Linked DNA regions of Schizosaccharomyces pombe. The protein of the gene in region 2 interacts with the protein of the main gene of each other region in a biochemical or structural test. Each region holds a gene or a part of one and is shown on either strand. Other genes may lie near its edges.

Region 1 (4,060 bases), 3.0 Mb from region 2:
GGTATACACAATTTGAATAGAAGTCATATATATAACAAAAGCGCAACTTGTGACTAATAATTAGATTAAAAACAGTTAGAAATATAATAGTTATTATTTAATTTTTTAAAAGTCTTTGAGGAGCAAGCAAAAAGTCCAAGTGAGAACTCTGTTGTTCAGTCTCAGCATACAGTAGTGTCAATCGATAATATGTATTGCCGAGAGGGGACTGATGTCTTCATGTGTTGCTAGCAATAAAAAAAGATAACAAGGAAATTCGATAAATACATGTTCATTTGCAAAGTTTGCCATAATTTGCCATTATGTGTTTATATGGTAAATCTGCCAATCTGACATAAACATATTTAAAAAAAAAAAAAAAGAGGAACAAAATATGAATTTATCCCAGCTTCTTAGAAAAATAGCATAACCAGACTTCTTCATCATAACTTGCTTGTATTTTTTTTTGCTAATGTACAAAAGCAGCAACAATTAAAAATCTATAATTACAACTGTGTTTACATAGCAACAATTACATTCAAACCCTTATTTATCTTTAGCTATACAGCTATTCTCAAACGAATTTCTCAAGAGGCAACATAGTACTTGATAAAGATTCAAACTTGATACACTACATCTTGACCCTATCTTTGAGTTCAGTTGGTAACCCAAACTTAGAAGCATATGGAACAGAAGAAACGGAGAAGGCAGATATTCATGCACCCTCATTTTTGTTAACAAATTTATCTGCTGAGGTTTATGAGTAACGATTTTGCATGCATAAATTCTTTATTTAACGAGTAAAATTACGTTATTATTAGACACGATTTTGAATGCATGAAGAGCAGTGCATGCTAAATTAATAAATGGTAAAATTAAAGAAATTAGGTTATCTAGAATGTCAAACCTTAGGTTATTTAGAATGTCAAACCATAACGACAAAAGGTATTTTACATTTCTCAAGTCACTCGTAATCAATTCAATGTGAAAGAAAACAAAGGCGTTCATAAACTAGAATGTGATGTTAAGCGCCTAACAAAAATTTGTATAAGTATAATGTTAGATGCATTTTTCGAGTAAGAGAACAAGAACTCATACTACGACACGGGACTTGATAAAAGCAATAACGTCAGAAAAAAGCGAAATCTAATTTATAAACAAAAGAAAAAGAATTTTTTAAAGGAACACAAAAAAATTATTCATTTTCACGGAACGTTAAGTGGCTTTCATAAAATTGAAGCATCTTCTGAGGACATTTTTTATTGGTGATAGTACTAGGATGATGAGATATTGCACCGTTCTTCCAAGTCAGATAAATTTCCAAGGTTCCATCATCTTTTCGTTCAATTGTATCGATGCTAGATACCAAGTCTTCCCAAGAATCATAGTTTTCTACTTGTTTAACCGTCAGCTCTCTGTTGTCCGGAAGTTTGGGAACTTCCGGACTAGGCTTCTTTTTCGGAGTAACATTGCTAGGGGTCTCTGCTATTTGAATATCCTCACTTTCATTCGATTCTTTTTGTGAAGGAGATTTAGACTCATTGTCAGATTCAATGTGACCATTCGGCTGACCAGAAGGTGGGCCGTTCTCATTAAATTCCTCTTGCGATTTATCGGCGAATTTAATAGTTTTCTCATTCACATCTTCAATCTTTTCATTGGAATCTTTGTCGTGTTTATCTTCATCAGTTTTACGAGACTTTGGTGAAGGCTCCTTTGCTTCGGGCTTTTTAGGTCTTGCAGTCCTCTTTCTTTTAGAAGGTTCTGGTCTTCCTCCATGTTCATTCCAATATGCTTCTATCAACTGTTTGCAACCGCTACAATCGGCTTCTGAACTCCATGTATTATCACTGGGATCGTCATAACCTTCCCATTTCAAAAGGTATTCATAGCCTCCACCTTTTCTCGCCATACGGTGTTTTAAAACCTTTTCTACAACATATTCATCCTCTTCTTCTTCTTCTCCTCCTTCTTCTTCTTTGGCATTTTCTTTCAATTTCTTCGACGAAGATTTACTTTCATGATCGCTTTCAACTTCATTGTCCGACGACCCAGAGTCTGCTTTATGAGAAGCAATAGCCTCCTTTGTCATGCTTGGTAACTCTGGTTCCGAATCGTCGTCAATAACTGATCGTTTTGAAGTAGAGGAGCGCCGATAAGATCGAACACCTCCTTTCTTCATTTTTCACTTGTCTTAATATGAAAATAAACGAGATTTCAGAATATTTTAAAAAGTACTAAACATCAATTTCGCGTTGGTCTTTACAGGTTGTTTGCTCGTTTAGCGAGACATGTTTGGCTTGCTTTTCATGGTGTACAGAATGGCTAGCATCACATAGAGTTCGTTTATTAAAATATTGCATAGAAGTACTGTATTAATCGTTGTCTAAAAGTTGATTAACGACGCCTAATTTTGCTTAGATCACTATCAGTAATAATCATTATTTCAAAAGCATCTCAATTTCCTAGTGATTTACTTAATGCGAAATACGAAAATATTGAACAAATATTACCGTTAGAAATAAAATTAACATTTTAAGTAATGCTGCGAGTAACAAGATATTTGGCTGTTACGGTTGGCATGCTGATTTGTTTTCTAAAGCAATGCTGAGTCTCTCAAGATTGATAAACAATCTTAACTAGAAAACAATTCCACCTTTTAAATTTCGTAGGCAATCATCGTCAAACAACAAAATATATATTCTTATGAGGATTCTTTTTGCACTACATATTACACTGAATAACTTAAGTCGTCAACGAAGTCCCGAGTGGCTCAATCGGTTTAGAGCGTCTGACTCTTATGATGGTAATCAGAAGGTTGCGAGTTCGAGTCTCGCCTTGGGAGTTTATTTTTTCAATTTTTTTACAATGATACTACAATTTTTGGAATGTAAAGATTACTTAAATACAAAATGGTACGTTTAAAGAAATACGTACTTAGGGAAATTATGATAAATTCAACTTATTTGAGCACTCAAATATCAAAAAGAATGAGTAGTTGATGAAGTATCTTCAAAATTTCAAAAAACATGAACTTAGAGGCATCTGTACTGTTTTTGTAGACCATGGTTTATTAACATCTAAAAATAATGAAAAATAGCAAAAACATATGGTGTTGCATTAAAAAATTAGTAACGAATATGAAAGCATAAACATATGGTTTAGCCAGTCCAAAAATAACCCAATGTCTTGTATTGCAAGACACGGCTACCTAACATTTTCCAATCGCTGTTTTTTATCCACAGCTCCGATACGATCCGAATGCGATTGTATATACAAGCACCCTTCCAGGCAACAAATTGAGCATCCATACTTCTTGGTGGAGGAATTACCGAAATAGTAGGGATGTTGGCACGCTTGGAATGGATACGCTCTTCCAGTAAATGAGCAAAGCCCGGGAACTGACCAGCTCCACCGACGATCAAAATGCTTGAGTAAAGATTTTTTGCCTTCTCATCACTTAAATTTCCATCACATGCACTAAATATACTCTGGTTGATTGCATCATCCAAAGGATATATCAGTTTCTCATTCTTTATTTCTGGAGCAGCAAGTGAGCCACAATATACTACCCGTGGAGGCTTGAATTTTACCGAAGGTGTCACCAAATCACTTTCTTCTTTTTTCTCTTCATCATCTTTTCCATTAGCTTTGATGTTGGATATCGGCGTAGATATTTGCAATAAAGTGGTTTGGGCAAGTGATTCGGGATTATTCGGTTGGTTGTCATATACATCGACCGGCACTGGAAACAAAGTATACCGATCATGAAGTTTATTTTCATTTTCAAAAATGTCAGGGCGAAAGAATCCAAGAGGTGCAAGCATTGTTTCGTCAAGGCTTTTAAATGTAAATTTTCTAGTCCCTTTATCAGGTGTTCGCGAAAAGAAGCTATTCAATTGAACATTATAGGTTGCTTCACTTAGGCCACAATATTTTATTTTTAAAGCATTGGCTAAAGACCAATCATACGGAGTTTTTAAGTCAATATCCTGATACGGGAAATGACTTCTCATGAGTAATTTCATGAATAAAAGCGTAATGTCATCTCCTCCATAGTTTATTTTTATCCTTGAGTTGG
Region 2 (3,010 bases):
TGTTAAGAATAATCATCCGAATAAATTTCAAGGCTTAATTATGAAGTCGCTAACAAAGGACTACTTTTACTCGTTCAACTATGCTTAAGAAAGCTCTAAATTTTTAAAAATAAGAATTAAAACGACCGTTAATTCTCTTATAAATGCAATTCCAGGTTCTAAAGAGAGGTTACATAACAAGCAGGAAAGAATGACTGATTATTTTTCACGAATTGTCTATTTTTTTTCGGCCGATAAGTTCATTACATGCTCGATTTGTCTTTGCAAAATATCTTTCCGCGATATATCAAAGCTATTAAGCTATTAAACAGTTCGTAAATACCTGAAAACAGTTTGTTCATATAAATATGTGCAATTCTTTATGCGAACCGCCATTAAACGATAAAGAATGCTGCGATAACAACCAAATCTCAATACCAAAAGTGTAAAGATTTTTAAAAAAAGCATTGTCTTCGTAGTTCTGTATTCTTTTATAAAACAAAAGACATAAATTTAACAGATACTTGAAATAAAAGAAATCATGTTTCAAATAAAGGTACTTGTTGTCATTAGTTTTCATTAATGTACATAATGTGTTATCTAAACTTGTCACTCTCAAGGCTGAATTCATTCGCATGAATTAACGACAAGTTTCTATAATTGAAGATAAATTCAAACAACCAAATTAACACATATCCGTTCCCATCAAAGTGAACGTTCATCTAGCTCTTGGTAATGTAGAACAAAAACAACAATTATTCACGAAGCCTGCTTTTCACTTATTGGTAGCAACATATCAAAGGGTGACAGTATAATACAGGCAAGCAGTCAATCAAAATTAATTTAGTCTCAATTACAATTGCCAAAAGTCCTGGAGAAAATTATGAGCGTTCGCCACGGAGACGACGAGCCAACTGCATATCCTTGGGTTGAATCGTAACACGTTTTCCGTGAATAGCACACAAGTTAGTGTCCTCAAATAGAGAGACAAGGTAGGCCTCAACAGCTTCTTGGAGAGCACCAATGGCAGAAGATTGGAAACGCAAGTCAGTCTTGAAATCTTGGGCGATTTCACGGACCAAACGTTGGAAAGGTAGCTTACGAATTAAAAGTTCAGTAGACTTTTGATAACGACGAATCTCACGAAGAGCGACAGTACCAGGACGATAACGATGAGGCTTCTTAACACCTCCGGTAGCGGGAGCGGCCTTACGAGCGGCCTTAGAGGCCAATTGCTTACGGGGTGCCTTACCACCGGTAGACTTACGAGCTGTTTGTTTAGTACGAGCCATTATATCAAGCTAGTAGAATGAATATCAAATAAAAAGACAATCGAGAAAAAAATAGCTGTTGTGCTACTTTTGCCAATTGTTGATCTTTAGAATTAATGGAAACGCAAGCGTACTGCAGATATTTGCTATATATATGTTTTGAATCCACCCGATCTCATCAAAAGCAGGGTTAGGGTTTTGATGCAGATTCAAAACAAATAGACAGCGTCGCCCCAACTTCCCTCTCTTCAGACAATCATTTCTTTTAATTGTTTTTGAATACGGATAAAATCCTTTGTCAATTTGCATTGACTTTTATCCTACCGTTAACATCTGTTGACATCTATAAATTCATTGTTCCTTTGTTAGTCAACGGAAAACCCCTTTATCTTTATTATACTTAAAGAATTACGCGTTTTTTTGCGTAGATTTTAATTTTTTCTACTTCTTAACATGTCTGGTCGTGGTAAAGGTGGTAAAGGTTTGGGAAAAGGTGGTGCTAAGCGTCACCGTAAAATTCTTCGTGACAACATTCAAGGTATTACTAAGCCTGCTATCCGTCGTCTTGCTCGTCGTGGTGGTGTGAAGCGTATTTCCGCTTTGGTTTATGAAGAGACTCGTGCTGTTCTCAAGCTCTTCTTAGAAAATGTTATTCGCGATGCCGTCACCTATACTGAGCATGCCAAGCGTAAGACTGTCACTTCTTTGGACGTTGTCTATTCTTTGAAGCGTCAAGGCCGTACCATTTATGGTTTCGGTGGTTAAACTCCTATTACATTGATTTTTTTCTCCTTGTTTGTATATCACTTTATTATTTACCACTTAATTCCTTTTTTACCCCTGTCTGCTATAAATGTTGTGCAATTGTTCGTGAAATTTGAATTATCTATCAATATAATTTTTGTGGATTATTACCTCTTTCTGCGACTTTCCCTTTTTCAGCAGTCTTATAAGTTCTGTTTTTAATTGGATTTGTTCTGCATATGTTTTTATGACTAGTTTCTTTTGTAGGTGATATTATTTTTTGCAAACAATGTCTTTGAATGTCACACTTTAATAAACTTAATTATCACGTTTCGCAAAATACTTCATTTTGTAGTCGAAAGTAGATACAAGTTGGTATGCAAAATGGTACAGTAATGTTTCCACTTCTACAAGATTATTTTTGTTGTTGTAAATTTACAGCGTTCATACATTTTGCGACTGCTTACTGATCATTGACATACCAAGCGTCAATTGGCTTCCTGATTCTACTAGCTGAAGTGCTAAAAAAAATTACTTCCTGTATTTTTATTCTACATTTGTATCAAAATAGATTTCAAAATACCTAACTAAATCGAAAATTTGAATTGTTGACTTACTCAATAACCTTTTGATAAACAGCATCAAATGGTGCTGTCATTCCAGTCCACAAATGAAAAGACGCAAGACCTTGACGAACTAAAGCTTCCAATCCGTTGCAACATTTCCATTCCAAGTCAGATGCAACAGCCATTAGAGGTGTATGCAAGGGCTTGTAAGCCATGTCAAGGAATACTCCACCATCGGCTTTGTTAGCAAGCAAAGCTTTAATAACAGATGCAACTTTTTCAGGAAGCTCAATATCTGCAGGAATTGTCGAGACGACCGCGGAAAGGGTAACACTAGATAATTCTTCAGAAGGAATATTGTCAGAATCTATTATATGGATGTTATAATCAGGAGGGAAAACGTCTTGAACACGATAAGAGTTGGCTAAAGTGCGGTTCAACAAATAAATT
Region 3 (5,874 bases), on a different chromosome or scaffold from region 2:
CCGGTGGTTTTATCGTGTATTCTACTTGCAGTATTACTGTTGACGAAGATGAAGCAGTTATTCAATATGCTTTAAAGAAGCGCCCTAATGTTAAGCTAGTGTCCACTGGACTTGAATTTGGACGTGAAGGGTTTACCCGTTTTCGTGAAAAAAGATTTCATCCAAGTCTAAAGTTAACTAGACGTTATTATCCTCATGTTCACAATATAGACGGTTTTTTCGTTGCCAAACTGAAAAAGATTTCTGATAAAATCCCTACTGTAAATGTGGCTGATGATATGAAGGATGGAACAAATAATGATGTTGAAATTGAAAAGAATTCTACTGAAATTGATAATATTACTTTCAATGATGAAGCCGATAAGGAGATTATCGAGCAGAATCGTCGCAAATGGTTGAAGTCTAAAGGTTATAAGGTTGCAAAAAAAAAGGATTAGAATAATTTTGGTTAGGTTGGGATTACACAATAAAAGGTAACTGAACATTGATTCGCGTGTTACTACAACAATTATATTAATAGGTTGTCGTAAAGAGCCGGTCTTTATATTTTTGTATCAATCCATCTGGTTGTCAAATCTCAATTCAGTGGAATATTTTATTATAAAGTATTCTGGAATTTTTAGAATAAACTACATATAAATAATAAGAAAGTGAAGTAAATTTGTGAGTTTACCGGTGTCTCTTTTTAGATGGTCTTTCTTCAAAAGCATCGTGCTTAGCATCTTCTTGACGTGCTTTACGCTCCAATTCATCCCAATCTTCACCACTTTCTTCATCCTCCACTTCGCTTTCACTGTAACCATCCTCTTCACTAGCATCTTCGCTGTACTCCTCAGATTCTTCTTCCTCTTCATCAGAAGGGTCGGCATCAGAAGCTTCATACTCAGAAACCTCTTCGACACTATCATCTCCTTCATCATCACTCGGAGCTCCCAAAAATCCCCATCCTCCTTCTTCAAAGAATGCAATGGGGTCCTCGTTGACAGTTTTCATAATCGTGGTCCAGTTCAAATTAAGAGGACCTTCATAGAAGCATATATCGCATGAATCGAGCCATTCCTTTACATTATCTAATTGCTCCATTGGAATTGTATTGATATGAATCGGAGGGCGGCGGAAGTCTTGAAAGATGAAAACCAAATCAAAATTTTTTAAACCAAATTGTACACGCTCCAAGTGTGCAATTTCAATTTCGTTTAGTGTAATTACAGTAAATGGTGTGTCTGTCAATTGAACTAGGCAATCAGTAGTCGGCTGCAATAAAACATTGGAACGGAAGGGAACACCATTGAATGCAAGTTCGCGAAATGGAATGTCTAATTCAATTCGTCCCTCACTTGCTTCAGCGATTTTTTCAGCAAATGATTTAAATTCGCGATCTAATTGAGCACGACGCCGTCTTTCTTCTTGTTCTTGCTCCAATTCATCTTCATCACCATACATGTATTTCCGCTTCTTGTTTCCAGTTTCGTCAAACTGAATATCAGAAACTTCGCGATAAAATTGCACGTCCTGGGTCTTCCTTTTTCCCACCATGATCGGAGCTTTCAGATGAACATGAATAAGAACGATAAGCTCGCCTTCACATGGCTGGAAAAAGAGATGCTTCATATTAGAAAACAAAAGATCAATGTGGCTATCTGAACGTAATGGCGATTGATACCGAATACCATTTTGGTGTATCTCAATGAATCCAGGCAACCGTTTCCCGTCAATAGCAGGGCGAACGTAAACATCATTTATATGAGCAGGTCTCTTGTTCTTTATTTCAATTAATTTATCTTGCTCAATAACATCAGCAAACTCCTTACGTTCAGTTTCACGCTTGGTAGCTGCTTTCTTCATATCTTGGATGTCCTTGAATACTTGCGACATTCTAGAATTATTTGAACTTCTGAAAGTAAAGCTTCGTATGAATTGGGCATTAGGGTCCTCAAACGGTAACTCATCCTTTTTACCGCCAATCTGGCCAGGACTTACGAAATTTAGTCGTAAATACACAAAATTTCCCTCATCGTTTTTACTAGCATTTTTTAAAGTAGATATATGGAACGGGACAGGCCGACCGAAAATGGGTAAAATAATACTTTGAGCTCGATAATCTACTAGAATACGTAACTCACCAATTGCTTGTGGAAGTTGCGAGTCACGCTTGTACGACTCAAATCGTTTGACAGTGGGTTTTTCGATGCCGCTAGACGGAACAGAACCTTGAGCAAATCGTTGCAATCCCTCAGCCTGTTTTCGCGATGCTAGTTGCTTTTGATGCTCAACACGCCTCTTTTCAGCAGAATCATCCAAGTCTCTGGTTTCACTTCGAGTCTTTCCTTTATGACTTGATATAGTTGCCGTTCCCCGAGTAGGTGGTTTGCGTGGCTTTACGCCGTCTTCAAGAGAAGAATCATCTTCACCAAAGAAGTAGGATATATCACCTTGAGCTTTTGGAGAATCAGTAAATACGATTGGATCACTTCTTGTTATTTGAATTGTGTCAATCAATAAAAGAGCATACTCTTTAGACTGAGAATTTTTAGGATGAGGATTAATCAAATTCCCAAATCCAATGCTAAGATTTAGAGTCATCCCGGCTTGAAGAACGCGTGGGTTTTTGGCATTTACTAAAAGTGAAGATTCGCGAAATTCAATGCCAATGCCGGCACCTAGATTTCTTACAAAATTAGGTTCGAGATCAGGACGTTTAGCACGTATAAGACCCAAAATTTTCGTATATATGTCCCCAATAACAGCGCCATCTCTGCAGTATTCGAACAACTTTTTCTGAAGCGCTACTAAAAAAGAGTAATTTTTCTGTTGTTCGGAATCAGGATCAAATAAATAAGTGCGACCAACATTAGAACAATACGATTTGTAGCGAAACCCTAAAGAGCATAGGACGACGTCCCCATGAAGATTTCTATCATCTGTTATAGCAGAAGGCTTCAAATCATAACTACCCCCCGATTGAATAATGGGAGTATAACACCACTCTAGTTGATCCAAGTCTATGTCTCCTAGTTTCAAAGATTTTGTTTGAAAAAAAGCCTCGTTATCAATAAGGCTTTCCATCTGATCCGAAAACTTAGAGTGAGTTATTTTTTTTCCTTGGTCAATATAAGTCGAAAGTTCATCAACAAAATATTTACTCATAACCGCAACACTAACCCGCGATGCTCCTTTTATATTAGCAAGTTCTTGTTCGTCCTTTATAGCAAGACACTTTGCTAAGCCAAGCGATGCATCCACAAGATTAAATTCTGATTTCACTGGTTCAAAAATTGAGTCCCATTCATTAATGAATTTTCCTTGTGTTTTATCCTTAGGAAATACTCCGACCTTTTTATTGGTGGCTCTAATATACTCTATTATTTTTTCAAAAAGCTTTTTATTTTCCTCAGCATCTTTCGTTCTCTTCAAGATGTTAACGTCAGCTGCAGCCCCCTTGGTTTCAGCCAATTTCGTTAACATATTGGCCTTGTTAACTGATGTAAGGATTGTGATTCGATGCTTTTCAAGAAGTATTAAAGTCGATGGAAATTCATAACCCAAGAGCCATGTATGTAGTGCAGTGGACTTTTGATATGGATTCGTATCATCATGAGCCCCTACTGTTACTAAAATACTGTCGCAGTCTTGAAACAGCGTCTTTCCGTCTTCCTCATTCTTCCAGGAGGTAAGAAGTATGCCCAAGCGTTTATGAAATGTAATTTCGTCTATTTCATATTCAGCCATTTTACCTTTAATTAACGATTTAAGATATATTCACTCTTTAGCGAATAGTTATTTTATCTGAAAGGGCAAAAAGGCTTTTTCTTACAAAATTTCTTAAAATTTTGTAAAAAAGAAACAGGAATTGTTTTATTTTTTTTTTATTGATTGATAGCTTTTTTTGATATCTTGTGGATGGAGGTGGGTAAGTGGTAGTACTTTTGAATGTAGATATATAGGGCTGGGATTTCTGCGACGCGACTCGACTTACGCTGCATGTGTTCTAGCTTGATTATTTGAGCTTGTTAATGTTTATAATAGACCACAAGCATCATAAAAAAATAAAATTTATTTATTTATTTTTTGGTTCTTCAAGAGCAGGATGAATATCACGCTTTGCTGTATATAATCGTAAACGGTTGGACAAGCTTTATAATTTTTGGAGCACGAATACTATACATACATGTCTGAATACGTCTACGTACATATATGAGCTGTAGTAATTTAAAAAATCATTTACCTACGTCAAGCAATCCAAAGACAATAGATATTACTTAATGCTTTAGTTATTGAAAAGTGGCACAAATTCTGGAGCACTCAGCTTTAAACGGATTAAATTGATTTGCTTGGTAAAATGAACTGAGTAGAACAAATTATAAAACTACAACGCAAAACTAGTAAGCCATTTATAAAGATCATTTTTACCCGGTATACCTTTGCTTTAGATGAAACTAATTTTGAAATGCACCATTAAAAATAAGGTATATTAAGTGGTTTGTAACCCTTTTACGCGACTAACCAGTTAAATACCAATTTTATCTTAAAAGTATATACGGTATTATCCCCATGAAATTTTTAAAATGTTTTGTATAGCTGACGAACATCGTATTGAAGTGTTTTTGGCTTAAAGACAAAATTTAGTTTACTAAATCTTCAACCGTTACTGGTGGTAGTTTTAATTATACATGGCTAAATGGATCAGCAACTTTATTGTTAATTTAAATAATCCATAAGGAGCGATATCTTAAGCTTCGGAACAAATAATAGCAAGAAATACGTTTCATATCTGGTTATCATGATATTTTTGTCTTTCCAACCAGTGAAGTCAATAAAAATATAAGTTCTTGGGTCAACACGGAGTAACAAAATATACAAATATCTTAAATATAACTTTGTTGTAAGCCTTATTGGTGATATAGGGTATGGCTTAAAATTCAAAAAACGAATTTACAATTTATTAGAATTTGTTCAATATTTTTTATGAAACTTACCACGAAATACTGGATATAGTAATAATATATAGTAAATGCAAAATATGCGCTGCTATTAAAATCAATTTCTAGTGCTGATCCAGGTAATGCCACATTTCATGAAGAAAACAAAAAAACGAATATCCAGATCCTTATATCATGGATCTCATCCATTTTATGTAGGCAGAAAAACGAACTACTACTACGAAAAATGGGGTTCGGTTATATGAGTCCGTGAAAAAACGGCGCTTACATACACACGAACACTCATGCATATATAAAGAGTATGTTTACAAAACAAATAAAACGTTTTTTGTATCACAAAACCTCAAATTGGGTCTACTTGAGTTAATATCGTCTTTTTTGCGGTATATTTGTTCTCAATCCCTTTTCTTTCTGAGAATCCTTTGCATACCAAATTCGCTATTTGCTGAGGAAAATTTAACACATAAATTCTGCTTTATAACTATATTTAGGACCATTTATTTTACAAAATTTCCAGTCAATATCTATCATGCCGTATAACCCTCTTTATGAATCGCTTTCCAATCAGTTTGATCCTTCGCGGATAGAAACAGTATTGGATCCAATGGGCTATACCATCAAGCGTCGGGCTCTTCCAGTTAGTCTAACCATTGCCGGTTCTGATTGCAGTGGTGGTGCCGGAATTCAAGCTGATTTGAAGACCATGACCAGTTTAGGTGTATATGGTATGAGTGCTATTACTTGTTTAGTTGCTGAGAACGCTGGTGGAGTAGACTCTGTTGAGGAAATGTCTCCTGCCTTCGTAGAATCTCAAATCGATTGTTGCATTCGAGACATACCTTGTCATGTCGTGAAAACAGGTATGCTTGGCAGCCCTGAAATCGTTAAGGCAGTTGCACGTTCTGCCAAGAAATTCAACTTTTCGAAGCTGGTG
Region 4 (3,746 bases), on a different chromosome or scaffold from region 2:
GAGTAGAAAGATATTGCGATTGTATTCGGAAAAGGCTTTTGGCTGTAAATCTCCTTAGGAAACGCTAATTTGATATTGGTATTTCAGCATTACCTTCTGCTTTGGTTTGTGAAAAACGAATCTGAATGCAATCATAGTTTTGATTTATACAATTTGAGTTTCAGAAATGTACAATTTTTTAGAGATTGTAGGCACTGTAAAAGCGTTGAACGAGTTGATATTTGACAGTTTCAAGCTGAATTTGATGTGCTATACATAAACAAAAAGCATGGCAGTGGCGCAAACTCAAATTTTCCTTTCAAAGAATATTTTGTTTAGCTACCAAAATCTTTTACCTGGTATCTTGACCTTGGTTTTAATGCTTTATTAAAATATGAAACCAATACAGCACTTTATGCAACTTTATAGCTGACCTTGAATAGAATAAAATACTGCAATTTTTTGAGTTTTACAACACAGTCTACATTCTGCATTTTTTGTGAGGAATATGTGCATCGGGTGCAACATTTCTAAGAAAAGCTTACAAAAAAACTGTAAAAATTTTAGCTGAATCTTATAGTTCTATCTTAGTAACCCACTCGTAATTCTAATTATTAAGTCCAAAGATCAACATTATGTAAATTTAATATGAGCCTCGTAATATTCAATAATTTTAAGAGGACATTTTTGGTGAATTATTATGTTATCGTGAGTTGAGACGTAACCATTTTTCCACTTTATTTTTGCAATTAGTTTACCATTATCAAGTTGTTGAACCGTTTTAACACAATCAACCAAATCTTCCCAGCTTTTCTTCTGAAAAGGAGGTTTAAAATTTTTTGAAGATTTATCAGATTTCATATATTTCTCAATTTTGCTTTGCTTTTCTTTCATAGAAGATTCAGATAAATCCGAGTCGACATAATCCGTAATACGATTTGCTGCATTCCTGCTTCTCCTTCTTTTATAAGATATAGAGTCATCAGAGTTTGAACTCTCATCTTTCTCAACATAGGAAGCTTCATTCGAAGATCGTGCGCGGCTTCGCGTCAATCGTATTAAAGACGAAAGATCTGGTTTACCTCCTCTAGATTCCCAGTATGCGTCTATTAATTCCAGACAGCCCGCACAATCTTCTTCATCATTCCATGTATTATCGGAAGGGTCATCGTACCCTTCCCATTTCAAATAATATTGGAAGCCTGATCCATCCTACATGGTTAGCAAGACAAGTATTAATGTTGCGCACCTTTTTCATCCTACTATCTAGAATCATTTCCACGGCGAATTCTTCATCTGAATTTTTATCTTCACTACCAGAACTAGCAATATACTCAAACCCTTCATTCAGAGGAACGGGTGATTGAGAGTTATGATCATCAGAACCACTAGTCTTTTCGAAATTTGAAGAAACAGAAGCAGAAGATGAACTTTTAAATTCGTTTTTGTAACTAGAAGATTCATCCTCTTCTTTTTTATCTTCAGAGTCTTCCATGTTAGAGATTGGAGACAATTTGGAACTTTTGACTTTTCTTATTTCACAACTGAACGACACATTGTGAGTCTTCTGAGACCCTGAATTTCCATGACTGTATAAGTCTAAAGAATTTTGAATATGGGTTTTTTCGGGAACACTAAGACCGTAAAGCGAAGGATGCCATGAACCATTTTGAGGACTTTCCAAACTCGCTGTCGAAGACTTATTGTTAATTGAATTTTCGGCTTCTTCAACAGTGAATGGTGGAGGACTAAAATTTTCATCACTTTCACTGATTATACTATTCATTAGGTCAAGGTCGGCACTTTTGACCATTATTAAGACTTTCCAGATATACCAACATAAATTATTAACCCTTCATATATCAATTAAAAATTTAATAAAAAATATTCTGCTCTAATTAATTTGATGCTGGTTATGCAATAATATTGCTGCTTATATGTTTATTTCGACGGATTCATTGATATTTTCTCCTCCCTTTATAAATACAGTTTTAAAAGATCCGCCAAGAAAAAGTATTTTGAATATAATTGACAGTTTTTATATATTGTGAAAGGACAACGGAAATTTTAGGTAAGGTTTATCACAAAGCGATTTACAATCCAGAAGTAGTATTAAGTGCAAGTCCTGCAATGTATTGGTTCAACTAAATATGAATACAGTATTAAAATAATAACCAATTTAGAATCGAAGTTCAAAAAAATTTGAAGATAAAGTGCTGTGCATAAAAATAACATACATGTAAAGGGTTAGGATGCTCAAGGTCCCATAATACGCTTGTCTTAAACAAATCTACCTATTGTTAAGGCAAGTAAGGGATGTATTAAAAGTGTTCATAGTTTTTCTGGAAAACTAAAAAATTGTAAATATATTATAAATCTTTTTTGTAAGCAATATTTAAAAGAAAGTATTATTTCATTTCTTTAAAACTTGTAATTAAAGATCTATCTACTATGCTTGGTTAATCAACAGAAAATATAGATATCAAGCTTCATGCAATAGCAAATATTGTGAAAACCAATTACTACCAAGTACTTTTTTTTGATATTCTATGAATTTCCTAGATACGTAAAGTGTATAACGATCTGACTTCCGTAGAGTTATCGATCTAATAATCGCTTAATTTATAAGTAGATATAAAAGCTAAACGGAATAGGTTGCCGATCCACGAATATTGAAATTATAGGGTATAATCAATTTAGAGCTGGATCAAATGTCCAAGCCAGCGATAACTGTTTTTTTATTAAATATTAGCAGACCAAAAGCAGCTTTGCAGCTTTGTTAAAAAAATTCGAGCTCAAAAGAATCATTATGAAAGTGGCTAATTTTGTTTTTGGTATTGAAACACCCATGAATCAAGCCATTTACGTCTCGTCCATTCATCAACGCTAAGGCTTTTATCTCCGTATGTCATTGGAGCGAAAAAGGTGAAACAATAAATAACGACAAAAATGAGTAGTAATGTACAGATGAGCTCTATTACATGACCGTATTTTCTATGACATTTGGAATGTCCTTTTTCATCGACATCTTTAGGAATCGGAACTCCTGCGGACACGGGTGATCGGAAGGATTTGCGACAGGCTAACTGTATAAATGCGCCTACAAGCAAGGAACCTGCCAAATGAGCAGGAAGATAATGGTGTAAAAACAATTGACGACCCATGATAAAGAATGGAAGATAATGAAAGACATAAGTCATGTAGAAAAACATAGTGGAACGGTAAAAGTGGTTACGGACAGTTTCAGGTAAAGTACGAATACCTCTTTGGCGAAGCAAAATTTCAGCTGCAGCGACCACCGTCGTACTCAAAACAGTACCGGCAATGATCCACCAACCGATAGGATTTCCCAATAAATATATTTGCTTGTTTTCCTCACTTTTAGCCCAAAACGCAATACCGTGGTGCAAAGTAAACCAATCAGAAGGATTAGAACTGTATGGATGAAACTCGGTTAACATATTATTTTGTCTAAACATTGTGAGTTGTAGCTCCAAATATTTTTTCCAAAATGGTAGTTTTTTAGGAATTTTTTTTTCCTTCTTCAATCGGCTATCTTTAAGTCCGATAATATCATCGAATGTCCAGAAAATTGACCCAGTTTGAATGTTTTTAGCACCATTGATTTCTAGCTGTTTAAATGCCCAATCTGGAAGTGGCTTTGGATCAGACCACATAGCCACATGAGTGAGTTTATGGATCAATTTGAAAGAAGAAGCTTTGGTATATAAAGGTCGCTGAGGATCAGTATTATCACTCATAACCAC

The links.
Region 1: the proteins of hht1 (region 2) and swi6 interact in a test that uses a peptide from one of them, tested with the Schizosaccharomyces pombe proteins (6 studies listed by BioGRID, with this or other methods).
Region 3: the proteins of hht1 (region 2) and spt16 form a complex in vitro, tested with the Schizosaccharomyces pombe proteins (one study listed by BioGRID).
Region 4: the proteins of hht1 (region 2) and chp2 interact in a test that uses a peptide from one of them, tested with the Schizosaccharomyces pombe proteins (4 studies listed by BioGRID, with this or other methods).

The regions. Positions count from the first base shown.
Region 1 is NC_003424.3:1,701,841-1,705,900, forward strand, and holds swi6 (heterochromatin (HP1) family chromodomain protein Swi6), read right to left. Parts: upstream 2,259-4,060; 5' UTR 2,162-2,258; coding exon 1,175-2,161; 3' UTR 566-1,174; downstream 1-565. Other genes in the region: Ino80 complex actin-like protein Arp8, read right to left, coding at 3,141-4,060.
Region 2 is NC_003424.3:4,698,090-4,701,099, reverse strand, and holds hht1 (histone H3 h3.1), read right to left. Parts: upstream 1,369-3,010; 5' UTR 1,272-1,368; coding exon 861-1,271; 3' UTR 540-860; downstream 1-539. Other genes in the region: hhf1 (histone H4 h4.1), read left to right, coding at 1,704-2,015; multifunctional aromatic polypeptide Aro1, read right to left, coding at 2,608-3,010. UniProt on the Schizosaccharomyces pombe protein: Core component of nucleosome. Nucleosomes wrap and compact DNA into chromatin, limiting DNA accessibility to the cellular machineries which require DNA as a template.
Region 3 is NC_003423.3:3,669,314-3,675,187, reverse strand, and holds spt16 (histone H2A-H2B chaperone, FACT complex subunit Spt16), read right to left. Parts: upstream 3,909-5,874; 5' UTR 3,730-3,908; coding exon 670-3,729; 3' UTR 566-669; downstream 1-565. Other genes in the region: RNA methyltransferase Nop2, read left to right, coding at 1-437; phosphomethylpyrimidine kinase Thi201, read left to right, coding at 5,470-5,874.
Region 4 is NC_003423.3:4,348,041-4,351,786, reverse strand, and holds chp2 (heterochromatin (HP1) family chromodomain protein Chp2), read right to left. Parts: upstream 1,793-3,746; coding exon 1,229-1,792; exon of another isoform or gene 1,192-1,228; coding exon 613-1,191; 3' UTR 543-612; downstream 1-542. Other genes in the region: ER membrane O-mannosyltransferase Ogm4, read right to left, coding at 2,799-3,746. UniProt on the Schizosaccharomyces pombe protein: Component of the kinetochore which plays a role in stabilizing microtubules and so allowing accurate chromosome segregation.